4 linked regions of the Stegostoma tigrinum genome follow. The protein of the gene in region 4 purifies or fractionates together with the protein of the main gene of each other region. This does not show direct contact. Links are inferred from orthologs where the notes say so. Each region holds a gene or a part of one and is shown on either strand. Other genes may lie near its edges.

The links.
Region 1: the proteins of nop56 (region 4) and rrs1 purify together in Homo sapiens (co-immunoprecipitation; 3 studies listed by BioGRID and IntAct, with this or other methods). This does not show direct contact. The link is inferred for Stegostoma tigrinum from reciprocal best matches to the Homo sapiens genes NOP56 and RRS1.
Region 2: the proteins of nop56 (region 4) and ebna1bp2 purify together in Homo sapiens (affinity purification with mass spectrometry; 4 studies listed by BioGRID and IntAct, with this or other methods). This does not show direct contact. The link is inferred for Stegostoma tigrinum from reciprocal best matches to the Homo sapiens genes NOP56 and EBNA1BP2.
Region 3: the proteins of nop56 (region 4) and gnl3 purify together in Homo sapiens (affinity purification with mass spectrometry; 4 studies listed by BioGRID and IntAct, with this or other methods). This does not show direct contact. The link is inferred for Stegostoma tigrinum from reciprocal best matches to the Homo sapiens genes NOP56 and GNL3.

The regions. Positions count from the first base shown.
Region 1 is NC_081358.1:31,724,000-31,731,038, forward strand, and holds rrs1 (ribosome biogenesis regulatory protein homolog), read right to left. Parts: upstream 3,009-7,039; 5' UTR 2,913-3,008; coding exon 1,923-2,912; 3' UTR 396-1,922; downstream 1-395. UniProt on the Homo sapiens protein: Involved in ribosomal large subunit assembly. May regulate the localization of the 5S RNP/5S ribonucleoprotein particle to the nucleolus.
Region 2 is NC_081361.1:65,088,574-65,096,030, forward strand, and holds the start of ebna1bp2 (probable rRNA-processing protein EBP2), read right to left. Parts: upstream 3,007-7,457; 5' UTR 2,479-3,006; coding exon 2,428-2,478; intron 1-2,427. UniProt on the Homo sapiens protein: Required for the processing of the 27S pre-rRNA.
Region 3 is NC_081364.1:19,750,117-19,757,444, forward strand, and holds the start of gnl3 (guanine nucleotide-binding protein-like 3), read right to left. Parts: upstream 3,003-7,328; 5' UTR 2,947-3,002; coding exon 2,934-2,946; intron 2,821-2,933; coding exon 2,762-2,820; intron 1-2,761. Other genes in the region: pbrm1 (protein polybromo-1), read left to right, coding at 5,898-5,937. UniProt on the Homo sapiens protein: May be required to maintain the proliferative capacity of stem cells. Stabilizes MDM2 by preventing its ubiquitination, and hence proteasomal degradation.
Region 4 is NC_081354.1:189,149,851-189,157,709, forward strand, and holds the start of nop56 (nucleolar protein 56), read right to left. Parts: upstream 3,005-7,859; 5' UTR 2,902-3,004; coding exon 2,899-2,901; intron 1-2,898. UniProt on the Homo sapiens protein: Involved in the early to middle stages of 60S ribosomal subunit biogenesis. Required for the biogenesis of box C/D snoRNAs such U3, U8 and U14 snoRNAs. Part of the small subunit (SSU) processome, first precursor of the small eukaryotic ribosomal subunit.

The sequences.
Region 1 (7,039 bases), on a different chromosome or scaffold from region 4:
TGTCCTATCATTCCTAATGGGTTTTAATTATTTAATTAACCACTTTATTAATTTGATGCGTTACATATTTTAACTTACCGACAATTTGTATGCTATGTTAAATTTTAAGAAAACAGTGGATCTCAACTGTTTACCAGAAACTAACCAACGTTTCTCCCTGTAGTGCAGCGAGACCCCATCGTTACTGCATGGAAAGGGCCCATAACAAACATTTCCTTTCCCATTCACCAAACTTCCCTGTCATTGAGCTCTGAAGATTATACTCATTTTCCATGCCGGCTCAAATGGTCTGCTCTTTCACCTGCTTATAATCCCATTGAGGAAAAAAGTTTGTGTAAATGGTTAACAAGCAAAATGTCAGAAAATTGAAAAGATGTAAACCAGGGAGTCAGGTGTGAAATTAAACAGAACTGTTTTAATTACGTGGACATCGCTACCTTTCTTCTGGTGTGCTGTTAATTTTGAAACAGTATTCCGGCATTTTGTCAGTTTACATTACCTATAGTTCTTAATTTTCCACATGGTATAATTTATAGAAAAGAAAAACTTGCTGCGCTTCAAAATATTTTAACCCCAGACTGCAATTCATGCTTTATAAATATGTTTGACAACCAAAGGATACAATTCAGGAGTAACTGAATTGAAAAGTGAACTGAAAAGTGAACTGAAAATTTCAAGACTTGCCTCATTATCCTTTGGCATTATAAGGGGTTTTACAGTGAATATATTATTTGCATACTCAGCTACACAAGCAATTTGTGTAAAACAAAAATCCCAAACTCCAAATGAGGTACTACAGCGATAAATAAAACAACTTTACAAAAACAGTTGATACGCTATAGTCAAGTTTAGTAACAGGAATACCTTTAGAGTACACGACAGTCTACAGTCAGTACTGGTGAAGACAATTTCTTAAATACTGTCAAAAACAGAAAATGCTGGAAAAGCTCAGTAGGTCTAGCAGAACTTGTGAAATCAGTGTTAACCTTTTGGTCCTGGAGTTCTGAGGAAGTATCAAAGGACCCAAATGTTAACACCAATTTCTCGCCATAGGTGTTGACAGACCAACTGAGCTTTTCCACCAATTTTTGCTTTGGTTTCTAATTTACAGCATTCACAGTTTTTAAAAAAATAATATACTGGTTTTGATCCGATGATATATGCAGGCACTATAGAAATACAAGTTCTTCCTTTCTATTTGTTGGAGATAGAAATCATAACCTATAAACTCATGGACTGGATTTCCAGAGAGAGAGACTATTTTGAGGCTCTGGATTTGAAATGCTAACTTGCTCTGTCTCCATGGATGCTGCCTGACCCACCATGATCTCCAACATTTTATTGTTTCCAGTTACAGATTCCAACATCTGTAGTAATTTGCTCCTTTACTTTGAGGAGAGTTAAAGTTGTCATCTACAAGTATTTTCAAATAACCATAGACATAATTAACCTGAGGACAAAAGGCCACTCCACACTGGAACTGAGCTGCCAACTCACATTGAAAGGTTTGGTGCTTTCCTTACATACTCTACTGTTCCAAAAGATTAACAACATTTAGTTGTGTTGCTAATCATAATGCAGTGTCTTACAACATAAAATAATTTCAATGAATCCCCTTTCAAAGTGGTCAACAGGATTGCTGGCTAGACAATTCTGGTAATGAACTTTCTGCCATACAAACAATTGGCCACAGGTACAATTTAAGCTCTCTCTGCACAAGTCCCATCACATATAGTCACTCAGATGCACATAGCAAAAGAAATACAAAACACTTTATTTTAAGTTCATGAAAAACAAAAAAACTGTCAGAACGCAAGAAATTATCAGGCCACAATTAATAAAGAAACAAAGGTAGGCCCTCTCAAAACTAGAATGTTCTTTAAAATCAAGGAGCACCGTATTTAACAACAGTTCAATATGGCTCATTTTCTCTTTCCTTGCTGCTTCATCCCCGATTTCCGATGCTGACCTTTTCCCCTATTATTTCGATTGTGATTTTTCCCTCCTTTCCTGCCCTTAGGCCGCATTTTCTTTCGTTTTGCCGCCTGCTCCTGATCGTCTTCTCGAAGTTGTCTATTGACAGCCTTCGTGAGATCCAGTTTGGGTTTCTTGCTGGACATAACATTGAGAAGGTCTAGCTGCTTCTGCTTCTCCGCCGAGAAGTCTCCGACGATGGGCTGGAACTTCCTCCTCTTGCCGGTGTTCCTCGCCTCCTGTTCCTTGGGGAGCTTGTCCTGAAACTTGCCAACCGAAGCGGTGGAGGTTCTCGCCACGCGAATGGCTTTGCTGAGCTCGGCTTTGCTCTGTTGCTGGGTGGGGGCCAGACCGACACCGGGCACCTTGTGCTTCTGAGCCCTGGCGATGTTCCGCAGCCTGTTCAGCTCGTTCTTGGCCACTCGCTCTTTCTTAGCCGCGACACGTTTGGCGAACTGATCCTCACTGGGGTCAGCGGACTCGGGTACTTCCAGGACCCACTCTTTGGTCTCATCGTTGGCTCTCTGATAGCCCCAGCGGCGGCGCCACTCTTTCCTGCTCTCGTCCCACACCAAGTTGCTCTTCTTTTTCTTCCGGATGCCCTTCAGTTTGGCGAACTGCTCCCAGCGGGTAGGCGGCCGGGGTTTGGGCACCGCTTTTTCCCGGGGGATGAGGGTACTGGGCGGGGGCAGCAAGGCCACGATCCCCTCCTGGAGCTTCTCGCTCGGCAGCTGCCAGACGGCGTTAAGCAGCAGCTGCGTGTTGTCCCGGGCAAGGGAGCGCAGCCAAGCCTCGGCCTCCTGCCGGCACAAGCTCGAATTGAGCGGGTTGGCATCCAGCGCCGTCAGGTTGCCCAGGTCCAGCTCCAACTCCAGAGGCCGGTCCACCCGGATCAAGCGCTCGGCCTCGGCCACCAGCTCTTCCACCGCCACCGCCATCTTCGCCTTCCGTCACTTCCGCCTCTGCTCATTGGCGTCACTATCTGCGACCGCTCGCCACGTGATCTCCAACAGCCGGAGCAGCAGCAGGCGGGAACCATCAACCCCGCCCACAAATACGTCACATAGACGCCCCACCCCTATCCTCTTCACACCCCCCACGCACCCCCCCCCACACACACCCCCCCCCCCACCCACACCCCCCCCTCCCACACCTTCCCCCCTACCCACACCCCCCTCACACACCCCCCCCCCCACACACACCCTCCCTCCCACCCACACCCCCCCCTCCGACACCCCCCTCCACACCCTCCCCCTCTACTCACACCCCCCCCACACACACCCCCCCCACCCACACCCCCCCTCCCACACCCTCCCCCCTACCCACACCCCCCTCACACGCCCTCCCCCCACCCACACCCCCCCTCCGACACCCCCCCACACCCTCCCTCCTACCCACACACCCCTCCCACACCCTCCCCCCTACCCACACCCCCCTCACACATCCTCCCCACACATCCTCCCCACACCCCCCTCACACACCCTCCCCCCCACCCACACCCCCCCTCCGACACCCCGCTCCCACACCCTCCCCCCTACCCACACCCCCCTCACACACCCTCCTTCCCACCCAAACCCCCCCTCCGACACCCCCTCCCACACCCTCCCCCCTACCCACACCCCCCTCACACACCCTCCACCCACCCACACCTCCCTCACACACCCTCCCCCCCACCCACACCCCCCCCTGACACCCCCCACACCCTCCCTCCTACCCACACCCCCCTCCCACACCCTCCCCCCTACCCACACCCCCCTCACACATCCTCCCCCCACCCACACCCCCCTCACACACCCTCCCCCCCACCGACAACCCCCTCCCACACCCTCACCCCTACCCACACCCCCCCTCCCACACCCTCCCCCCCATCCACACCCCCCCTCCGACACCCCCCCTCCCACACCCTCCCCCCTACCCACACCCCCCTCAAACACCCTCTACCCATCCACACCCCCCTCACACACCCTCCCCCCCACCCACACCCCCCCTCTGACACACACACCCTCACCCACATACCCCCTCACACACCCTCCCCACCACCCCCACACCCCCCTCACACACCCTCCCCCACACCCACACCCTCCCCCACACCCACACCCCCCTCACACACCCTCCCCCACACCCACACCCCCCCACACACCCTCCCCCTCACCCACACCCCCTCACCCACACCCCCCTCACCCACACCCCCTCACATACACCCCCCTTGCCCACACCCCCTCACACACACCCCCCACACACCCTCCCCCAACACACCTCCTCACCCACCCTCCCCCCCACATACACACCCTCACCCACACACCCCCTCACCCACCCTCACCCCACATACACACCCACACCCCCCCAACACACTCCCCCCTCACATACACACCCACACACCCCCTCACCCACCCTCACCCCACATACACTCCCACACTTACCCACACCTCCCCACACCCCCTCACACACTCTCCCCGCACATACACACACCCTCACCCACACACCTTCCCCACACCCCCTCACACACCCTCCCCCCACATACACACCCATACCTCCCAGACACACCTTCCCCACACCCCCTCACACACCCTCCCCACATCCCCTCACACAACTTCCCCACACCCCTCCCCCCACATACACAGACCCCTCCACAGACATACCTCCCACATCTCCCCACCCACACACACACCCTGCCCGCACCCCGTCCCCCCACATACACATACCCCATCAGACAACCCCCACATCCCCCTATCAACGAACACACTCTCCCCATACTCCCTCACACAACCCCCATACACCCCCCATACACACCCTTACCTACACAAATCCCCGCATACCCACATCCACACACATACACACACACACACACACACACACACAGCCTCACACCCATCCCCCACCCACAACCCCTCCCCGAACACATCTTCTCACCCCCTCACACGTCTCCACACAGCCCCACAACTCAACCAACACCCCCCGCTCCCCATACCGCCCTACAACCTCTGCCCTCCATATAGCCCCACATCCACCCCCCACACATACACCTCTACATCCCCTCCCCCGCACACAGTCCCACACCAACCCTCCCCGCACACAACCCCACACCCATTGCCTCATACATGCACAACATCCACTCCGCACACACCTATCTCTTCCTTTGACACAATCTATGTCCTCACACATCCCCAACCCCCCCCCACCCTCATGCACTCCACCTCCCCCACATACACCCCATCCTCCCACATAGAATCCACCCACACCCCTGCACACAACCGCCCTCCCCCCACACGGATCCCCCTCATAGACCCCACCTCCACACCACCCCACTGAACCCACCCTGACACACCCCATCTGCCTCACAATCCCCCTCCCCCCCCACACACCCCCTGTCCACCCTTCCAACTTACCCTCATATACCCCAGCACCTACCCTGACACACCCCAAAGCACCCCACACCAACCACCTCCGCGTACTTCCCTTGGTTTACAACCCATTCCCCACCTCCATCCACCCTCCCACCCCGCACAACCCCTTCCCCTTCCCACATTCATCTCCTACCCTCCACCTACCCCCCCACCAAAACATTCTTAAACGCCTCCTCCCCAAGGCACACACACCCATATTGTACTATCTGTAAACTGCTGTTACTTCAATAAACAATTAGAAAATTGCTCGAAATCATCCACAGCCTACAGTGAGTAACTGTGATCATGAACCCTGACAAACCACCATCTATTCGTAAATCCCAGATAGCTCACAGTTCAGTATGACACACTTTGCAAACACTACTTTGCCAGATTGTAATATACAACAAGATTGTTAATTATTATGGAAAGAAAGCCTCCACTGTTTTGAACCTGGACCTTTGAAATTTACAGAAAACATCCATAAAAATTAATTAGCTGTAAGCAATAAATATTTTATCATTTTAGGTTGAAACTAGCCACATGTACAGACAATAATAGGAGGCATGTAGTAGGGGGCTTCTGAACATGCCTATCTGTTTAGCTCATTCCCAATCTCAGGATTCACACACTCACTCACAGTTAAAGTTTTGTTTTTCTCGGTGTTATTTTATTTGCTAAGGGAAATTGAGTTGTTTATTTTACTGTCAAGGGATGAAAGTGCAGCTTTGTTGTCCATCCCGACTTGTCCCTGACACGTTGGTAATGAACCTCATTATTGAACTGCTGCAGTTTATTTATTGTATGTACTCCCTCAGTTGGGAAGGAGGTTTAATTCAACAATACTGAAGGAACAGGTATCTAATTCCAAACTGTATCAGAGATAATGGGAACTGCAGATGCTGGAGAATCTGAGATAACAAGGTGTGGAGCTGGATGAACACAGCAGGCCAAGCAGCATCTTAGGAGCACAGAAGCTGACGTTTTGTGCCTAGACCCTTCATCAGAAAAGGGGGATGGGGAGAGAATTCTGAAATAAACAGGGAGGTCCGCCTCCCCCTCTCTCCCTATTTATTTCAGAATCCTCTTCCCATCCCCCTTTTCTGATGAAGGGTCTAGGCCCGAAACATCAGCTTTTGTGCTCCTAAGATGCTGCTTGGCCTGCTGTGTTCATCCAGCTCCACACCTTGTTATCTAAGAAAGAGAGAGGTGATTGGTAGCAGTTTAACCTGAGGGACACCACACCCCATGGGAGAGGAGAAACTGAGAATGCGAGTTCTTCATGGTAACCTCAGCCAATGTAGGAACTGAATCCATGCTGATGGTGTCACTCTATTGCAAACTAGCTGCATGGCCAACTTTGCTACAGGGAAGGGATTACTGAAAATATATTTAGAAAAACATAAGAATTAAGAAAAATTTTGAAGAAAGTCACAAGTTATCAGAAACATCCCTCCCATTAATGGGCTTTTCCAAAGTCCTCCTATTTTTAAAAAAATTATACCAATATTATTGTAGTGATATCTTCAATGTTGACCTCTCTGAAAAACTTACTAAATCAATGCCACTATGAAGAAGAGGCTTTTTAAAAATCTTATAATTGATGCATCACAGATTCAATTAATGCACTCCAAGTGATAATCTCTGTTTGTTATGTTATTGTGGTAATAAATAATGCAAAA
Region 2 (7,457 bases), on a different chromosome or scaffold from region 4:
AGCAAAGAAAGTTACCTCAGAATACAACAGGATCTTGATCGAATGGGCTATTCAGCCAAGTAGTGGCAGGCAGAATTTAATTTAGGTAAATGTGAGGTGCTGCATTTGAGAGGCAAATGAAGACAGGACTTATATACTGAATGTAAAGGTCCTGGGGAGTGTTGCTGAACAAAGAGACTTTGGGTGCTGGTTGATAGTTCCTTCAAAGTGGAGTCGTAGTTAGACAGGGTAGTAAAGAAGGCGTTTGGTATGCTGGCCTTTATTGGTCAGAGCATTGAGTTTAGGAATTGGGAGGTAATGTTGTGGCATTGTAGGTTAGCCACTTTTGGAATACCACATTCAATTCTGGTCTCCATGCTAGAGGAAGGATGTTGTGAAACCTGAAAGGATTCAGAAAAGATTTACAAGACCTGCAGCCCAATGGTATTAATGTGGATTCCACCAGCTTCAAAATCTCCCTTCCTCTCACTGCATCCCAAAACCAGCCCAGTTCATCCCCACTACACTAACCTGTTCTTCCTATCACCTATCCCCTCCTTCCACCTCAAGCTGCAACTCCATTTCCTACGTACTAACCTCATCCCGCTCCCTTGACCTGTCCAGGACAAGGTCTTTTCCCTGAGGTGGGAAGAATCCAAACCTAGATCGCATAGGTTTTAGGTGAGAGGGGAAAGATCGAAAAGAGGTCGAAGGGGCAATATTTTCATGCAGAGGATGGTGCCCGTATGGAAATGAACTACCAGAGGAACAGAAGGGGCCAGTAGACTTACAACATTTAAAAGGCATCTGGATTGGTATCTGAATAGGAAGTGTTTGGTGGGATATGGGACAAATGCGAACAAATGAGGCTAAGATAACAAAGTGTGGAGCTGGATGAACACAGCAGGTCAAGCAGCATCTTGGGAATACAAAAGCTGACGTTTCGGGCCTAGACCCTTCATCAGAAAAGGAGGATGGGGAGAGGGTTCTGAAATAAATAGGGAGACAGGGGGAGGCGGACCAAAGATGGATAGAGGAGAAGATAGGTGGAGAGGAGAGTATAGGTGGGGTGGGGATAGGTCAGTCCGGGGAGGATGGACAAGTCAAGGGAGCGGGATGAGGTTAGTAGGTAGCAAATGGAGATGCAGCTTGAGGTGGGAGGAGGGGATAGGTGAGGGGAAGAACAGGTTAGGGAGGTGGGGACGAGCTGGGCTGGTTTTTGGGGCGGGGGGGGTGGATTTTGAAGCTTGTGAAATCCACATTGATACCATTGGGCTGCAGGGTTCCCGTGCAGAATAAGAGTTGCTGTTTCTGCAACCCTCGGGTGGCATCATTATGGCACTGCAGGAGGCCCAGGATGGACATGTCATCTAAATGAGGCTAGATTTGTGAAGGATATCTGGTCAGCATGGACAAGTTGGATTGAAAGGTCTGTTTCCATGCTGTATATTTCCATGACTCTAAGTGGTAAGTAACATTCGTGCCACACAAATGCCAGGCTATGAACATCCCCAATAAGAGACAATCTAATCACTGCCCTTTGACATTCAATTGTGCTACAATTGCTGAATCCCCCAGTATCAACATCCTGGGGTTATCACTGATTAGAAATTGAGTTGGCCTCACCACATACAAAGTGGTGACAATACCAAGCCAGAGATTAGGAGTACCGCAGTTAGTTACTTATTTCCTGACTCCCTAAAGCCTACCCACCATCTACAAGGTGCAGTCAGGAGTGTGATGGAATGTTTCCACTTATCTGGATGGGTGTAGCTCTAACAACACTCAGGAAACTTGATGCCATCCAGGACAAAGCAGCCAGCTTAACTGGCATCAAATCCACAGGCATCCATTCCCTCCAGCACAGACACACAATAGCAACAGTGTATACTGTCTACAGATGCACTGAAGGAATTGAAAGATCCTTAGACAGCGCCTTCCAAACCCTCCTCTACTTCCATCTGGAAGGACAAGGGCAGCTGATACATTGGAACACCGCCCGCTGCAAGTTTGCCTCCATCCGCCATCCTGACTTAGAAACATATCACCCTCACTTCACTGTCACTCGTCAAAATCCAGGAATTAGGCGCCTCAGGGTATTGCGGTTAACCCACAGCACATAGACGGCAGCCCATCACATCCTTCTCGAAGGCAACTACAGACAGGCAATAAATGTCGGTCCAGCCAACGGTCCCAAACTTCCCACGTGATAATTACAAATAAAACCTCAATTCTTTGGGTAAAATGAACCTCTGCCAGTCACCTCCATTCCACAGTTTGTGGTTATCGCCATCAGAAAGTCGGGCACAGATCAGACAGAACAGGCCTTTAAATTATATCGAGCGATTCAACCCCCACCTCCCCATTCTCCCAACCCCGGACCCTCTTCCTGAGCACGGCTGCTGCTGTCATGGGAGCGATGCCTCTAGTTCAGGGTAACACACTAACCTCCAGGTCGGAATCCTCAGCGTCTGAGGCGGATTGTGGATCCCAAGCCATGCTGCCGCCGCCGCCGCCTCGCTGGTCGGACCTGAGCTGAAGATGTTCCCCGCCGCACTCACTCCCAGTGCACACGGTATACCCGTCCGGCCGGAATGTGGAAACCGCGCACAGAGTTCCGGGAATAAAGACCACCTTCCTCACAAAACCGCCGGGATACCAGTTAGTTTATTTATCCGGACGATCCGAAGTGTACCGCAGGAGTTTTCGAAAGCAGTGTGTAGATTCAAAGTGATAATGGGAACTGCAGATGCTGGAGAATCCAAGATGGTAAAATGTGAGGCTGGATGAACACAGCAGGCCCAGCAGTATCTCAGGAGCACAAAAGCTGACGTTTCGGGCCTAGATCCTTCATCAGAGAGGAGGATGGGGAGAGGGAGCTGGAATAAATAGGGAGAGAGGGGGAGGGGGACCGAAGATGGAGAGAAAAGAAGATAGGTGGAGAGGAGAGTATAGGTGGGGAGGTAGGGAGGGGATAGGTCAGTCCAAGGAAGATGGGGACAGGTCAAGGAGGTGGGATGAGGTTAGTAGGTAGGAGATGGAGGTGTGGCTTGAGGTGGGAGGAAGGGATGGGTGAGAGGAAGAACAGGTTAGGGAGGCAGAGACAGGCTGGGCTGGTTTTGGGATGCAGTGGGGAAGCCAAGCGGAGGCTTGGGGACCGCTTTGCAGAACACCTCCGCCCGGTTCGCAATAAACAACGGCATCTCCCAGTCACGAACCATTTCAACTCCCCCTCCCATTTTTTTCAATGACATGTCCATCATGGGCCTCCTGCAGTGCCACAATGATGCCACCCGAAGGTTGCAGGAACAGCAACTCATATTCCGCTTGGGAACCCTGCAGCCCAATGGTATCAATGTGGACTTCACAAGCTTCAAAATCTCCCCTTACCCCACCACATCCCAAAACCAGCCCAGTTCGTCCCCTCCTCCCACTGCAGCACACAACCAGCCCAGCCTGTCTCTGCCTCCCTAACCTGTTCTTCCTCTCACCCATCCCTTCCTCCCACCCCAAGCCGCACCTCCATTTCCTACCTACCGCCTCATCCCACCTCCATGACCTGTCCATCTTCCCTGGACTGACCTATCCCCTCCCTACCTCCCCACCTATACTCTCCTCTCCACCTATCTTCTTTTCTCTCCATCTTCGGTCCGCCTCCCCCTCTTTCCCTATTTGTTCCAGAACCCTCACCCCATCCCCCTCTCTGATGAAGGGTCGAGGCCCAAAATGTCAGCTTTTGTGCTCCTGAGATGCCGCTTGGCCTGCTGTGTTCATCCAGCTTCACACTTTATTATGTAGTACTGTTGTTAGATATTAGAAGGTCAGTTGGCTGGATTCTGGTTTGCAGCATGGAGTTCAATTCCCACACCAGCTCATGGTTGTCTTTGGATTCTCCTCCTCAAACTCTGTCTTCGTCAAAGGTAACAAGGTGTAGAGTCTGGATGAACACAGTAGGACAAGCAGCTTCAGTGGAACAGGAAGGCTACGTTTTGGGCCCACTTCACCCAAACATCAGCCTTCCTGCTCCTCTGATGCTGCTTGGCCTGCTGTGTTCATCCAGCTCTACACCTTCTTATCTCAGATTCTCCAGCATCTGCAGTTCCTACTATCTCTTCGTCTAAGGTGTCGTGATCCTCAGGTTAAGCCACCAACAGTCATTTCTCTCTACTAGAGAGAGCAGCCTAACATAAAAGTGACTTTATGGGTACATGCTGGGAACATGAAATGAAGATAACTCAAGTCAGACAATTTCCTCATCTGGGAATAAGTTACAGGTGTGACTGAATGGGGGAAGAAAAATATTTACAGCAGCGCAGTGGACTGGAAGTGTTTTTCAGATTGGGCCTCAGCATATGGCATGCCACTAGCACCATGCTGACCTAAAAAAGACTTCCATGATAAAACAGTGGAAACAGCATACAACACTGAACGATCCCACATTCAGTGTATCAGACCTAAACTCTGGGGTCCTGCCACATCAAATGGTGGTAGACAATAAACAATTAACAAGGGTTGGAAGCTCTTACCTCCCCCACCCCACCCCCCCACCATCTTCAATGATAGGGGAGTTGAGAACCTCAGTGCAAAAGATAAGGCAAAAACATTTGCATCCATCTTCAGCCACAAATGTTGGGGCCAATCCATTTCAGCTCTTTACTAATATCCCAGATCGCAGATACTAGTCTTCATCCAGAGATTCACTTCATGTGGTGCCATGTGAAATTGCTGAAGGCACTGGATATTGCAAAGGCTATGGTCCCTTACAGCATACCAGAAATGGTACTGAAAACTAGTGCTCCAGAATTAAAAATTGGTCCATGCTGAGCTATTCAAATATAGCTACAACACTGGTATTTCCCCAAAAAAGTAGAAAATTACTCTGTTATGTCCTGCGCACAAAAGGCAGGGTAGATTCAACCTGGCCAGTTACAGTCCCATAAATCTATTCTTGATCATTTGCAAAGGGGTGGAATGGGTTCTTGTCAATGATATTAAGTGCCACATGTTCAGCGATAAAAATGCTCATTGAATTGACCTTTGCCGGGGTCATTCAGTTTCTGATCTCATTGGATTCCCCCTTGGCGCCAGCATGCACATAATGGCTGAACTTGAGGGCAAGTGAGGGTGACTGCTCTTCAAATCAAGGCAGCATTATATCAAGCATCAATAAGTGCTAGTAAACACAGTAAATGGGAATGATTGGGAAAACGTAGATGAAGGGAAAGCTCTTGGCTGAGTGGTGTCATACCTAGCTTAAAGGAAGTGTTCGTGGTAGTCAAGGTCAATTATCTCAGTTACAAGACATTACTTCAGGAGTTCCTCAGGGTTGTGTTCTTTGCCCAAGCATTGTTAGCTGTTCAACGTGGCCTTCTGTTAGTGGCAAGTAACATTTACACCACACAAGTACGAGCCAATGACTATCCCCAACAGGAAGGAATCCATTTATCCTTGTTATTCAATGGCATTATTATCACTGAATTCCCTTTTATCAACAGCCAAGGAGTTACATTAACCAGAATATGAACTGGTCCAGCCATTTAAACACTGAGGTTACAAATTTGGGTCAGAGGTTGGGAATCCGAAAGGGAGTGACTCACCTGCTGTCTATGCAAAGCGTGTTCACCAACCTACCAGCCAAAAGCATGATTGAATACTGCCCACTTATCTGGATGAGTGCAGTTTCACAACAGTCAATAAGCTCAATATCATCCACGACAAAGTTGTCCACTTGATTGGCACTCCATCCACTATCTTCAGCATTCACTCTGTCCACCACAAAAGCACATCTTCAAGACATGAGGCCAATATCACATAGAAGCTCAAGGCATTAAAGTGCAGCAGAACACCACTTTCTGCAAATATTTTCATCCTGACTTGGAATTATATCACTGTTCCTTAACTGTTGTTGATCAAAATTGTGGAACTTCCTGTCCAACAGTGCTGTGAATGTATCTAGCCCTCATGAGCTGCAGAAGTTTAAGAAGGCAACTAAGCACCACCTTCTCAAGTGCAATTAATAAGGTGAAATAAATGCTGCCTTAGTTAGCAATGCCCAAATCCTGTGAATCAATTAAATAAACTCATATCCCATCTGCCTGCTCAGGTGGGTGTAAAAGATCCCATGAAATTATTTCAAAGAAGAGATGGTGAGTAATGCCTGGTGTCCAGATCAATATTGATTCTGTACTTTGTGTTCAAATAAAGATTACCTTGTATTATAAGATTGTTAATCACAATCATAAATGCTAGCAGAATATGGATGTTTGTCTGTGGTACTGAAAGAACTAAACTAGAAGCAGAAGACAAATAAAGCATTTGTTGTTGCACTTTGGTAAATATTTAGACAAATAAGTAAGTGATATTTATTTAAACATAAGAGAAAGATTTAGTCTCCAAGAGTTGTATTTGCTGCTGAGCATCTGGATTGTTAGATGGTGGAGCAGGAGCAGAAGGCAAAACATAGTTGCATTTCTGACCATTGAAGAAAAGTGGAAGATAATGTGGCAATTGTGGTGTGTGGTTACTCACTGACAAACAACTGGAACAGCACACAAGTCTCAGAGTTGGCTAATACTTTTCTATGTTGCTCACAGTGGTGTCTGGGAGATTGATCTTTCATCCCTGGCGATTGCCAATTGGGAACATTGACAACTCTAACTATAAATCTATGTAAAGTTGATCACTGTGCATGAACAAGAGTTTTTTGGCAAGTCTGAAAATTGCTTTTTAGAATTTTGATTTTATATCTCCTATTTCTACCCCTACTATTTAGATTAATATTTGAAGATAAACTTTTTCTCTTTCCTGAATATTATCTTCCAGCCCTCCTTTTCATGAAAAAAACATTCAAGTTCCTGCTGAGCTTCCTCATCGTTGAAGTTACTGACCCTGAGGGTCAGCTTCATGTCTCTGCTATGCACAGTGCTTGAATATTTCTCCTGGTGTTTGGTGATTGCTGTTGTGTGGACCCCTTGGAATCTTACCTTCACTTTTATCTATTTCAACAATTTTCCTGGCATTGACTCACCAACAAATTTTATCCTCTTTATTGCATTAAATTTCTGTGAATGTCCTGTCCACTTACGTACCTTGTCCGTTCATTCATAGAAATGAAACTGGACATCTCAAGAGTATTCAATATATGGGAAGAAACACATTGCAAATTTCAGATTGCCACCATCACAAGTGGAATTTGGATTGCTGATGGTCACCGTCAAGTCTGGGAGATGAATAATAAGAACATGGGTGAGGTTGGGGATAGGTGCCGCGTATCTGTGAAACATTTGCAGTCAGCACAAGGAAAGGAAATTGATGACAAAACAAGCGTGAAGGGTGGGAAATGTGAGATGATATGTTGAAACTGGAGGCAAATTCAAATTGCAGAGAAATGACCTAATAATCTATATGGAGGAAGAAAAAGAAGAAATGGAAAACAATAATGAACCAGCGATCGTAAGGATGGCAGATCCACTAGGAAT
Region 3 (7,328 bases), on a different chromosome or scaffold from region 4:
ATGATGTCACTGACAGTACCGGCAAACATATTATGCATGCTCATTTTTACACTTGCACATCTAGACCATTTTGGTGGTGTCAGCAAGTGTTCTTTGTCCACTTACAATCTTTCAATTCTGTAATCTTGTGCTATTTTCTAACCTAATTAGAACAACAGCAATCATTTGCAAACAAATGTTGCCATCTATTTTTATCAAATCATTAAGACAATGGTAGTTGAAGGCCCAAGCACTGATATTTGTTGGGCTCTATTAGCCATTTCCTTTCCAATCAAGCTCATAACTTCTAGATAGAGACACTTTCCTCCTAACAGTAGTTACTGGCTCAAAAAGATTAATTACATTAATTAGGCAAGACCTATCCTTTACAAGTCTGCATTTGTTCTGTCTAATCAGCACTTTTTTTATAGTGTCCAGTCATTCTGTGTTTAATAATATATTCGAATAAGTTCCCAACAAAATAATTGCCGAGTTTCTTTCTTTCTTTGCATTGTACGCTACAACAGCACTATTTTTCTTGCTGGCTGGCACCTCATTGAAAGTTGAAAAAATGTGTCCAGAAATGGTAACACCTGCAGTGTTCCACATATTAATACAGAGGTTGAACAATATGTACAGATTTTAAGTGATCAAGGAATGTAAATAATTTATAGGATTATTGCACCATGATATTGGCTGTCACTCAAAGCAGTTTTGATAATCACATATAATATTCCAAGATAACGAATGGGTAAAATTTGGCAAATGGAGTATAATGGGGGAAAATGTGAACTTAAGATAATAAAATGTGAGGCTGGATGAACACAGCAGGCCAAGCAGCATCCCAGGAGCACTTGTTCATTTAGACTGGAAAGATAGAAAAACCATACACTATTTAAATGGAGGTAGACGACAGAACTTGGTAATACAGAGGATGGATGTTTTGATTTATAAATTACAAATTAAGCATGCACGTTATTAGAAAGGTAAATGGGATGGTGGTACTCATTGCAAGGGGAAAGGCATGAAAGCAGAGTATGTTTAGATGCGGCTGTGCATGACATTGGTGAGACCACACCAGGAAAATGATACAGTCTTGTTCTCCTCAGTTGAAAAAGAACTGTATTAGAAGTAGTTTAGAAGTAAAACCGAGCTTGTACTCACTGAGTTGAGAAGAATGAGGGATGATCTTATTGAAATATACAAGATACTGGGGCAAACAACATGGAGAAACTCAGCAGGTCTGATAGTGTCTACAGAGAGCAAAGAAGAGTCAACATTTCAGGTCCACTGACCCTTTGTCACAACAAATGTCAATGAACTTGAGACATTGTTTCTGTCCCTACAAATGCTGTCAAACCTGCTGAGTTTCTCCAGCATTTTGTGTGTGTTTCAGATTTCTAAAATCCAATTCTTGTTTTTAAAATACTGGGGGGTCTTGATAGGGTGGTTACTGAGAGGTTTTATCAACTTGTGGGGAAGATTAGCACGAGAAACAAAGTACAAGTTTAAAAGATCTCCCATTTAAGTGAGAAAGTTTTTTTTTGAGGGCGGTTGGTCTGTGGAATCTCTTCCACTGGAAATTGTGCCACTAAATTAGGGCAGCACAGTGACTCAGTGGTTAGCACTGCAGACTCTCAGCGCCAGGGACCCGGGTTCAATTCCAGCCTTGGGTGACTGTGTGTGGATTCTGCACATTCTCCCCATGCCTGCGTGGGTTTCCTCCGGTTTCCTCCCATGGTCCAAAGATGTGCAGACTAGTTGGATTGTCCATGCTAAATTGCCCATAGTGTTCAGGGGTACGTGGGTTAGAGGGGAATGGGGATGGGTTTGGGTGGGATACTTCAAGGGGTGGTGTGGACTTGTTGGGCCAAAGGGCCTGTTTCCACACTGCAGTTAATCCAATCTAATAAATATAAAATTTATCAAAGGCTAAATTAAAAAGATTGACACACATCCAAGGTTTATGGAGTCAGTCAAATTGTGAGACTGAGACCCCAAAATTATCAGCCATTGTTCCAAACGGAGAAATAGCCTCGAAGGGCCAAATGACCCAGTACTATGTTTCTTTGTCACGTTATTAAAAATGGTCAAATCTGGGTGGTTTTCTTCAAAAAGGCTCTATAGATTGTAAATTGCAAATTTCTTGAAATATCAATGAGGTATAACTGCACACTAATTCAAGCAGTGAATTACAAAAAGTATATAGAATAAACACTAAAATTACAACAGAAACATGTCTGTTGACATTTAGTTGACAAGGACCATAAGTCATGCTCACATATGTCCACTCTATTCTTGTTTATCTCTCTTCCGTCAGCTTAACATAATGAAAAGATTTCCAAAACTCCATCTTAAATCCGTATCCTGAACTTCTCAATCATTACAAAATGCATTTCATCTGCTCTTTGTTAATAATCTAATCATCCAATACTCCTGCCCAATCATTTAAAAATGTGAATAGGCTGCAGTAAACTTTTTCTAAATAGCGTGATGTACAAAAATTGCAAGGTGCTCGAACTGCATACTAAGAGTTTATACCAAATTGTACTTGACTATGTGTTACGCAGTTTGCCTTAAAGCCACGTGCTCGTACAAGTACTAACTTAGGTGATTGTGAAGGGGCTTGGCGCAGTTCAGGTTGGCTATAAAAGTACTTGCTCTTTCTTTAGCCAGTTTCAATACATTACGATCCGGTTATTATATCTCACAAGCTTTCCCAGAGCGAACAATGTACCCAATATTGGGGCGTCCACAACTCGTGGATTCCACCCCGGCTCACCTTTCGCTGGATCTTAAATCGCTTGTGGCATGTCAGGCGCTTGCTCGCCTTTTTCAGCTCTGTAAGGAAACGCAACAATGAGGGCAATGAATCGAAACAATACTAACTCCTGCGGATAAAAAAAAGAATGTAACGAACAGTAAAGACTACAATTCCACGCCACACAACTCACTCGGCCGCTTCATACCGTCCGGCTGCAAAAAGAGCAATCCACGTGACAAAGTCCCAAACGTCCCATCGCCTGCCGTAAACACACAGTGAGAGAGCACGTCAATGTCGTCAATACTCTATCCCCGACCCGCTTTACGGCTGAGCCGCTGATGCTGACGATAGGGGCATAGTTGGGTATAGGAGGAGACTGTGGATCTCTTGTTGTTATTATTATTATTTTATCATATATTCTTTCGGGATCAGCCGAGTAGGGTAAGGACGGCTTCGGTTGCTGAGTTGTACTGAGATGAGTGATGTGTGGAAGTTGTGCCTGCAGTCTTTTTCCAGTTTGTTTTTGCGTGGCTGCCAAGGTGTTTGTGAGGCTCAGGCCGCTGCTTCTTTTGTTGTCAGTCAGCTCCCGGGAGTCAAGATTTCAACCGCGCGATGGCTTGTGTCCACCTCTCAGTTCATTCCACCTTTCATTCAGCGCCTAAATGAGCTGTTTTTGTTTCTGCCCATATTGAAAGGAAGCAGATATTTTAACTTTTACGTTTAAGCCTATTTTTCGCCCTGTTCCAAAGGTATGAATGAAATGTACCCTGCCTACATCATCCAGACATCGTTGCTGGATATTCAGTGATTGAACGTACATTTAAGATGTCAAGACAATGAACTAGTATTGTTGTCAGTGGGTTTATTTTAAATTGAAATGGAGCTGCGTACAATCGGGGAATAAAATCTGCCGGTAATCCTAGGAATAGAACACTTCCTGATTAGGGGAACATGCCACATTTTTATGGTTGTTGTCATAACAACATTTTAAGCATATTTACATTTCTAAGATGGCACTTCAGTTTTTAAAAAAGTTGTCCAATTAAACCAAATTTTCCACATAGTCACAGTTTACTAAGATCCACTGGGCAAAAACGTTAGGCCAGAATTTGCTGAGAAAGTAACAGTGAATTCACTGTAAGTTATGAATTTGTAAGTAGCGCAGCTATTCATGGCAACTTTGAGATAACCTGATGTGTTGCATGTTATTACAAAATTTGCTTTGCGAAAGCAGGAGCTGGCAGCCAGCTGACCTGTGACTTTTAAGAAATTATTCTATTTGCTCTGTTAAAATGAATTTTGACTTGTTATAGAAAAGCAGGACTAGTACTAAATGGTGTAAGAACTGTTTTAATTACAAGATTCATGTTTCCACAAAGTCACCTCATCTCTAACTTTAAAAGGAAATAATTAAGACAGATGGATCTCCTCTACAGATTATAAATTGTGTTGTTTAACTTTTCCTTTTTGACTCTCTTCCACTTAAGCTTACATTTCTCTCTTCCTTTTTTTACACACTTCTGACCCATTCTATTTCTCCAAACATTGCTTTTCTTTTTATTTTTAATTCTTATCTCATTAGTTTGTGAGATAGACTGTTCATCCTGTCATTGACGCAGTTAGTCTGCTATCTTTACGGTGAGTCCATCAAATTGTCAGTACTGAAATAACTTCTTCAACAAATGTGAATGATTGACATTTATTTTGACATATCAGTATGTTATCCACTTCGATATTATCAAAATTAATTTTGAATTCAGGCAATAAACACGATGCTGCTTCCATCTATAAATTACTATCTTCCTAAGAAACTTCTTTGCAAAAAAACTCCAGAGATTTTTATGCACTGAGGCGCCCTGCATTTGAATCTATGGAAAGATTATCCGTTTCTTCAAGATGTGCACCATTATTTGACTATTTAAATTACGAGATAATTACGTCTGTAAGCTCTGGTGATACCCTGTTAAAAATGCCGGCACAATTATTTTGTTCTCTGTTCTAAAAAATGTTAATTTGTCCTCTTTGAATTTCACTGACTTAATAGTTTGGAAAGTACTGTTAACCATGTTGTCTCAATGATTAGAATCATTCAGTCCACAAAAGGCCCTTCAGCCCATCAAGTTGACCGATTCCAACTCATTACACCTGATTCTCATGCTATATGTTAACTTTAGTACAGTATCTGCTGGTAAAAACTTTAAATATGAGGCTGCCTAATATAAATCAAAACATTTGGCTACCCCTGCCAGCCAACAGAAAGTAAAGAAAAACACCTGCATGAAGGGTTTGTTACAGGCATAGAACATTGATTTGACAGCTGCAAAACCAGTACATAAGTGGAAAGAAGTGTGCTAGTGCAGTATTTTTTTGTCTGCAGTTTATGACTGGGAGGAGGTAGGATAGAGGTGATATCAGGAGTGTTGCATTCTGATGAAGAGTCACTGAACCAAAAATATTGACTCTGCTTTCACTCCACAGATGCTGTCAGATCTGCTGCATTTCTCCAGCAATTTCTATTTTTGTTTCAGATGTTGGGAGTGCATAGACATCCCTAGCTTATCATAGAAAAATTTTAGAAAGACAAGAGAAAGGCTTTTTTTGGACAAAACTAGGACATTCAGCAGAACAAATCTTTGCGTAATAGCATGTAAACTTTCTTTGAGTGTGGCCAACCAATATAAGATATGATTTAGGATATTGTTGTCTAATTTTCCTTTTACTGTCCCTGAAAAAAAACTCCTATGGTTAAGCAGTGTATTTGTTTAGCCAATTTAATACTTAGAATCAGACAAAGTCACATGAATTGGAACAATTTCATGAATGAGACTATACTGTAAAGGTATCTGCCTTGCTACAGCTGTGTTACTTTCCCATGTGCTGTTTCTGTTCCCCACCCCAGTACCCTGTTTGTTGTGCAAGTAATAACTGAAGAATATAAAAGAAAAGCAAATATGGAAAAAGATTGGGCAAGGGTGGTGGTGGGAAACTGCCTGACAATTGTAGGAGTAAGTATTGTTTATGAGTGCGCAAGATTTGGGTATCATTTTTGTGTGTATATTTTCCCCACATGCTTTCAACTTGGTCCAGGCCTCAGAGGTTGGAAGTTTGCTCTATGACTTTAGAAAACTGAAGTTGGACTAGACGGACTTTGCATATGAATCGGATGACCTTTTGTCCTAATGTGGTGTTTCCAAGTGAGCACTTTATGTTCTGTTAGATTGTATTTTTACAAGTTGTATGTTTGTCTATGGCATAACCTTAAATTGCTTAATACTGCTATTTGATACTGTTAACTTTAAATCAATTATTGTTTGTGCCTTGAGAAAATATGGAGAATGGTTCCAGGGTTTTCCTCTGATGAAAAGGAGGGAAAAAGTAAAATAACGCAGATGTTTGAAATTTATGATAGAAACAAAACAATTCTAAAAGAAGACAGCTTCAGATTCAACAGCATCTGTGAGAGAGAAAGCAAATTTATGTTTTAGCTTGATGACCTTTTCATCAGAATGAAATTTCATTGACCTGAAACATTAACCCTGTTTGTCTCTACATTAATGCCAACTGACCAACTGATTATTTCGAGTGCTTTCCCTTTGATTCTTGGAAATAAATAAATTATGTTTGTTGGTGACTGGTCATAGATTTATGAAGCGATGGCTATCCTTTCATGAATAACTCAAAGAAAAATCACAATTGCAGTCTGTTGCTTGAAACCTATAATGTAAGCGTCAAATCTACATGGCTAACATCCCATACTTCCTTGTTTTCATCAATGTGGGATAGTCTAGTCTAAAATTTAAAAAACGACAGCTTACTTTGCCTGTCCCATTGCTGAAGGAACCCTTTAATTCTTGAAGTCACCATTTTCTTTCCTCTAAATTTACATATATTTACAGTCTGCTGTTTGATATTTATGTGAGACTTTTACATTAAAATTATTACTTTTGCAGCTAAACTTGATACTTATAAAAATATTCAATGTAATTGTAATAATTCTATTTTATGTATTGTGTTACCAAAACTATTTTTCACAGTTTATCCTCAAGATGTTGGCCATGCTAATGGCACTTGTGAAGATGCTTCTTTGAAACTCTGATGATGGCACTTCCACAATGGTCTTATCAAATCTGATAAAAGAAAGAACCAATGGAATTACTTAGTGAAAACCCATGCATATTTTTTGAGGAATACAAATGAAGCCCTTTATTTTACACGTGTCATTTCATTGCGTATAATATTGGACTCCATCATGCACTGTAGCAGAAATGGAGGTTGGTTAGCTCATTAGGATGGATAGTTTGCAGAGTGATGGCAACAGCAGGGGTTCAAATCCCGCACTGGCTGAGGTTACCATTAAGGACTGTCCCTCTGAAACTGAGAAGTTGTGTTCCTTAGGTTAAACCACCACCAGTTGTTGCTCTCAAATGAGCGAGCAGCCCTGTCGTCCTCTACAATTTTGGCAACTTTACTTTTGCTTATTATAGAAATAAAGACTTCTCTGTTGGGTGTTTTAACACCTCTTCTGGCTTCTATCAAACTTTCCCCTGCATAATGTAGCAGAGGTTGATGGTGCTCTGCATCAGAA
Region 4 (7,859 bases):
CTCTCTCCAAAGCCTTCTTTTCTTGCCTCAAGTGTGGCACCCAGAAGTGAATATTCCAGTTGAGACAGCTGTAGGGTCTACAGACATTTAACACAGACCTTCTCCGGCCAGGTGCTGTGCGCTTTATTTATTTATACATATCCGATCATGAAGACCGGCTAGGCCAGTACTTATTGTCCACCCTTAAACACAGAGCGTGTAAACTACATGGCGATGGCTCTGGAGTTACATGTAGGCCCGACTAGTTAATGTTGGCAGCTGTAAATCCCTAAAGAAAATTGGTGAACAAGTTGGTTTGTAAGAGAAATGAGAGTGGCTAGATGATTACCGTCAGGGCCGTTTTCAAGCCTGAACACTCGACATGGTATTAACCCTGCAGCCCAATGGTATCAATGTGGGCTTCACAAGCTTCATAATCTCCTCTCCCACTACCGCATCCCAAAGCCAGCCCAGCTTGTCCCTGCCTCCCTAACTTGTCCTTCCTCCCACCTAAAGCCCCACTCCCATCTCCTACCTACTAACCTCATCCCGCCCCTTGACCAGTCCATCCACCCTGAGCTGACCTATCTCCTCCTGAACTCCCCACCTACACTCACTCTTACTGGCTCCATCCCTGCCTCTTTGACTGGTGTCCCCCCCAACCCACCTATCTTTTCCTCTATCCGTCTCCCCCTTTCATCCCATTTATTTCAGAACCCCCTTCCCCTCCCCCAGTTCTGAAGAGAGCCTGGCCCCAAAACCTCAGCTTTCCTGCTCCTCTGATGCTGCTTGGCCTGCTGTGTTCATCCAGCTCCACAATTTGCTCAAGTTACTGACTTCAGCCTTTCAGGTAACTAGGAGACTAAATCATGACTTTTTACAACAGCATAATAAAACAAAAGCTGTGGATGCATATCGAGTGCAGTTCCTTCAACCTTGTCCCAAACTTCCAGGAAGAGTACAGCACAGAACCGTATGAACACTTCAAACGTGCAAACAGGGCAAAATTAAAATGTGCCCAGCTCCCCAACTGCCTTTCTGACTATTCTGGAACTGGTGGGCTATTCCTCTCCAGCAAGCACTGACGATACTTCAGAATCCGAGATGGACACGGCAGATAATGCAGCCTCGATGCCTTTGCCGTCTGAAGAGGAGAGCAAATCTCTTTTGGGCGCAGGTGGTGAGCTACTGTGCATTATATGCTGCCTGGATCAGAGGTAGCGTTGGAGGAACCTGATCTGGTGCTAAATGCCCCAGCAGGAATTAGTAAAAAAAAAACTGGCCTCTGTCCTCAGACGGGAGCATTTGTAGTTTGCTTTAAGGAAAGCAACCAGGCCAACTACTCTCTTCATTACTGGATCATTTCAGCCACAGCAACAACCTAGTGAATTCTTTTTGCACCATCTCTAGTACAATGACACCCTTCCTATAATGTTGCAACCAGAAACACACAGCACCCTAGCGGTGACCTAACTAACATTTACAGCTCCATTATAACCACGTTGTGCTTCTACTCTATGCCTTGGCTAATAAAGGCAAGTATGCGGGCTAGACACAGTAACAGTCATCACCATCGAAGACATACACAGAGATATAATCTGAACCATATTGTAAGGCACAGGAGCAGAATTAGGCCACTGAATGAGATCCAAGCCAATCTAAATACTGAACTGAAAACAAAAAATAACACTGGCGATCATAGCATGTCAGGCAACATCCATGAAACATCACGGCAAGCTAACGCTTCAAGCGTAGGTGACTCTTGGTCAGATGGCGCCTTTAGCATTTATTGTTTTCAGTACGGATTGCAGCATCTGCAGTAATTTGCTCCCGATAATCCTGAACCTTATTTTCCTCCATTTTCACCATAACTGCATTCCCCCCCAGTCACTTCGTTATAAATCTCAGCTCTGACTACCTTAACAGCTCAGATTCTACAGGAGGGAACTGCAGATTCACGACAAATGAAATCCAAAGTTTGTCTTCAGTTGCTGAGAAATTACAGCTTTCGGTTGCAGATTCCTCTACAATCAAGTCGCTTAGGAATCACCGGACTGTGGAGGGGGCTGTTTGGAGTGTCACTGGAGCCAGCATAGTGTAGCATGGCGGCTCAGTGATTACCCTCACAGTGCCAGGGACCCGGGCTTCCCTGGACTGACCTATCCCCTCCCTACCTCCCCACCTATACTCTCTCCACCTATCTTCTTTACTCTCCATCTTCGGTCCGCCTCCCCCTCTCTCCCTATTTATTCCAGTTCCCTCCCCCCATCCCCCTCTCTGATGAAGGGTCTAGGCCCGAAACGTCAGCTTTTGTGCTCCTGAGATGCTGCTGGGCCTGCTGTATTCATCCAGCCTCACATTTTATTACCCGGGCTTAGTGCCAGCTTTGGGTTCCTCCTACAGTCCAATGATGCTCGGGTGATGTGGACTGGCCACGCTAAATTACCCACGGTAGGCAGTCTGGATGGGTTAACTGGCCATTACATTCGGGTTACAGGGGTGTGGGATGCTGCTTGGGGCCACGAGACCTATTAGGATTCTCCAGAGACATTTTTTGTTTGAGATTTCCAGCATCCGCAGTCTTCTGTTTAACTTCCTTAAGAATCCTGTACATTTAACTAAAGTCACTCCTAATTCTTCCAAACTCTAATGAGTAAAGGCTCAACCTCTCCTCACAACGGGATCTCTCCAAACCTGGTATGAGGCGGCTCAAACTTCCCTGGACTGTCTCCAGCGGGCCCTTCCTTCGCAAAGGGCCTCCAAGTTCCCTCCGCACACATGGGGCGGATCAGGCGCGGCCTGACCCGGACCCTAGGCCTACTCGCCGTCGCCATGTGGCCCCGGGTGGGGCTTGACCGTCGCCTCAGGCCTCCCCACCCACACAAAGCTGCTGCCTCTCCGCCGCGCAAACCAACTCACCATCCTGCCGCACCGCCGCTGACTGAGGCCCGCGATCACGTGACGCCGCCTCTTATCCGGCCCGCCGTGCCAGTAATCCGCGTTCCCATTGGCCGCCGTGCGGCCGTTCTCGAAGGCCTTTGGCCAGGTCGCCGCCTGCTAGGGTCTCCCATTGGGTGTCCGCAACAGCCAATCCTGGAGTCTCTAACTGCCGTGCATCCAATCCAGACTTCCAGTTGGCCGCCTCGCTGCCACCCCGGGCTTCTATTGGCCGCCTACCAGCCAATCCGGAGGGGCGTTCATGCCGAGCAGCCAATGAGCTCAGAGGGCATGTTCTCTCCTGGTTCTCCCGCCCAATTGGTTGCCAGGTAAAGATCAGCGTCTATTAATTGTCCTCCAATCACTAACTAACATAAACCTTAACCATTAACTAGCATTCACTGTTAACCAGCACGTGGACGTGAATTAAAACAAACATGAAGAAGCTCAGCAGGTTTGGCAGCATGTGTAGAGAGAGAAAGCAGGGATTCAACAAGAGATGACGAGGTGTGGGGCTGGATGGACACAGCAGGACAAGTGGCATCTCAGGAGCACAAAAGCTGACGTTTCGGGCCTAGACCCTTCATCACTAGGCCCTCACCCCATCCCCCTCTCTCCCTATTTATTCCAGTTCCCTCCCCCCATCCCCCTCTCTCTGATGAAGGGTCTAGGCCCGAAACGTCAGCTTTTGTGCTCCTGAGATGCTGCTGGGCCTGCTGTGTTCATCCAGCCTCACACTTTGTTATCTCGGATTCTCCAGCATCTGCAGTTCCCATTATCTCTGATAAGTGGCATCTTGGGAGCACAAAAGCTGACATTTCGGGCCTAGACCCTTCCCCATCCCCCTTTCCTGATGAAGGGTCTCAGCCCGAAACGTCAGCTTTCCTGCTCCCAAGATGCCACTTGTCCTGCTGTGTCCATCCAACCCCACACCTCGTTGTATCAGAGATTCAACATGACCCTCCTTCAAAAGTCCATGGAAAGGTTTATATCTATTCTGGAGGGGAAGGTGTAGAAGATAGCCAGAGTCCAGATAGAGGGAAAACAGCATGGGACAGATAAACCCGAAAGAACTGCGGATGCTGTTAATCAGGAACAAAAACAGAAGTTGCTGGAGAAGCTCAGCAGGTCTGACAGCATCTGTGAAGGGAAAATCAGAGTTAACGTTTCAGGTCCGATGACCCTTCCTCAGAACTGGGTGTGAGGACCTGAAATGTTAACTCTTGTTTTCTTGCTTCACAGATGCTGCCAGACCTGCTGAGCTTTTCCGGCAACTTTGTGACAGCAATGGGCAATGATGAGCCCGTGAGATGGGGCCCAATGGTGGGTGAAAATAGGCTCATAGAATCCCTGCAGTGTGGAAGCAGGCCATTTGGCCCATTGAGTCCACACTGACTCCATGAAGATCACCTCACCCAAATGCATCCCCGATTCTTTTCCTGGAGTCTTGGATTTTCCATGGCTAATCCACTAGCCTGCAAGCCCTGGACTCTACATGCAATTTAGCATGGACAATCATTTAACCTGCACATTTTGGACTGTGCGAAGAAACCAGAGCATCGAAAGGAAAGAAAAGGGGAGAATGTGCAAACTATACACATGTGCAGTCGTCTTCTGATTGTAGAATTGAACCCAAGTTGCTGGCACTGTGAAGCAGAAGTGCTAACCACTTTGCCTCCCAGGACTGTCTGAGGTGAACGTAGCCGATATGATGACAAGGCCTGCTGTGTGAGCGTGAGGGAACAACATGGGAGAGGTTGCTCAGGTGCTGAAATTATTCAATTCAATATTATGCCCTGAAGGCAGCAGGGTCCCTAAGAGGATAATGGTGGCGAATGATCCTTTGGAAGTGGATGCTAGTTGAGTGGAAAGTGAGGACCAAGATGACACAATTGACATTGTGGAGGGAAGAGAAGAGAAGAGAAGAGATGAGAGCCGAAATGTGAAATATGGGTCAGACACAGCTGAGGACCCTGTCAACTATGATGGTGGGGAATTCTCAGCTGAGGAAAAAGGTGTACATTTCTGAGGCCCTGTTATAGAAAGTGGTATCATTAGAATAGAGGCAATGAAGATAGAGAAACTGGGAGAATGAGTTGGAGTCTTTACAGGATATGGGGTGTGAGGATGTAAAGTCTAGGCACCTGTGGGAATCGATGGGATTGTAATAGATATAAGTGGCCAGCTGATTGCCAGAGATGGAATCAGACAAGTTGAGGAAGAGAACGAAGGAGTCAGAGATTGTCAGATTGGACAAGGAACATTCCATGTACCCCACAAAGGGAAAGGCATAAGTGGAACCCATGCAGGTCCCATAGCCTTTGATCTGAAGAAAGTGAGAGAAGTTAAAGGAGAAGTTGTTCAGAATGAAGAAGAGCTTGGTCAGGTAGAGGAGGGCGGTGGTGAATGGGGACAGCTCAGGCCTTTTTTCCAGCAGGGACCATCCTGATGGAGAATGGAAATGTAAGGGGATTACACGTCCATAGTGAAGCTGAGGTGACCGGAGCCTGTAAACTGGAAATTCTGAAACTGATGTAAAGTGTCAGAAGAATTGTGGATGTAAGGGAAAGGGACTGGACAAGGGGAAAAAAAAAACGAGTCCTGGTAGGAAGAGATGACTTCTGTGGGACAAGAGCAAGCAGAGACAATGGGCAGACGTGTTTATTGATTTTGGGAAGGAGATAGAAGCCAGGTGTGAGGGATCGCACACCCTCTGGGTGATCTGGGAGGCTGTCAGCTGAAGATCCTTTCACTTAAGAGCTAATCTAATTTATTTTTATGTTTAGCATCTGCATGTGAATGAAAATCTTGTTTTTACCTCTCACCAGCAGCACAGCACACCCTCAGTATTGTGTTGAATTTGTCAACCTGAATTCAGAACCCTGTTTTGAGATACTCCTTCATTACCGCAATGATATCCCATTCAGTAACAGACCAGTCAGTGCCAGTCCTTTAGCCTATAGTTTTGGGCTGAAAATACTGTCACCAGATATAACCCAAGTTTTCACACTGTTGAATGTGGTTCACAGACCATTTCAAAACAGTAGGGATAAACTGATTCTCCTCTTGCTCGTTGCCAGCAGGACACATTAAAGATCCCTGAGACTGCTTTCCATAATTAGGACACTGTGCTCCCATGTCATACAAATTAAAAGCAGCTCTACCACAGCAAAGTATTAATTTTGATGAACAATCCCTGGGAGTGCAGGTTGCTGAATGAATAATAAAGTCCTCTTTGCTGACTTTGATTTGGTTTGATTTATTGTTGTCATATGTAACTAAGTACAGTGAAAGTACATTGTTTTGTGAACAATAAAGGCAGATCATAGCCAACAAAGACGCACAGATCATAGGGTGCTTAGACAGAGCGAGACACGCAAGGTCACAGCTGCACAGGAGGTACACGAAGCCAGATCAACAATAGATTTGAAATTATAGAGGTCCATTCAGCAGGCTAATAACAGTGGGGAAGAAGCTGTTCTTTAATCTGTTGGTGCGTATGTACAAATGGAGGACAGCAAATCGACAGGAGTTAAAGAATAATTTTCACAGATCCTGAAATCACAGTGAGGGGCTAAGGTGCTCCCGACATATGGGCCAGTATGCTCTGTTTGTTGATTTATGATCTGATAATTTCTCTGAATGAACATTAATAGATGGGTATGTGAAATGGGTAGGACAACCCAGGGGGAACGAATTCTCCACTCAGGATGTCTCAGGAGGGCTCATTTTGATGACAAATGGATGATTGAAAGGTTTAGAAACTGGGTAGAGGACAGCAAAACTAGCTTATGGTGCACAAATTTAAAGTTGTGTAAACAATGTAGCAGGATTGGAAGGATGAATGGTGTCCCGAATAGTCAGTGGAATGTTATTGTTATGTACAGCTTCCTACTGAGTTAAAGGGTGGTGTTAGGCAGTCTGCCTGTATAAAATAAGTACAGAAACAAGAATGATCAATGGTTTCAAGTTGGATGGGCACTTGGAAAAAATTGATGTAGAGTACTTTGGGGATAAAGTGAGCAAATGAAATTGTCGCAATTGCTGAGTCCTGACATGCATTCAGTGGGCGTAATGACTTCTCTATGTGCACTTTGAATATAACTAGCATCAGCTATCAGGATAATGCAGAGGGGAAGAGACAACATAGACAGGCCCTTTCTGGCTAGTCTATCCACAAAGAATTCCTCTGAATGTGATAGCAGATACAATTTGCCAACAATTCCGTGTCTTGCCTCATCTCTGTCTCAAATCATCGCAATATCTACTTAACAACAAAGCAAAAAGTAAAGCTGTGAAATAATTCAGCAGGGGGTGGGCATCAAAATTGTAGTTCGACTATAGAAAAGGTTGAGAGTAGGGTGGTCCGAAATAAAGTTTCAGGGAAGCAAGATGGCACTGGCAAGCAAGACGTTGGTGTGAAGTGTGTCTACTTCAATGCCACAAGCGTCCAGAATAAGGTGGGAGAACTTGCAGCATGGGTTGGTACCTGGGACTTCGACATTGTGGCCATTTCAGAGACATGGATAGAGCAGGGACAGGAATGGTTGCTGTAGGTTCCAGGATTTAGATGTTTCAGTAAGAACAGAGAAGATGGTAAAAGGGGCGGAGGTGTGGCATTGTTGGTCAAGGACAGTATTACAGTTGCAGAAAGGATGTTTGAGGACTCGTCAACTGAGGTAGTATGGGCTGAGGTTAGAAACAGGAAAGGAGAGGTCACCCTGTTGGGAGTTTTCTATAGGCCTCCGAATAGTTCTAGAGATGTAGAGGAAAGGATAGCAAAAATGATTCTCGATAGGAGTGAGAGAGACAGGGTAGTTGCCATGGGGGACTTCAACTTTCCAAATATTGACTGGGAACACTATAGTTCGAGTACTATAGATGTGTCAGTTTTTGTCCAGTGTGTGCAGGAGGGCTTCCTGACACAGTATGTAGATAGGCCA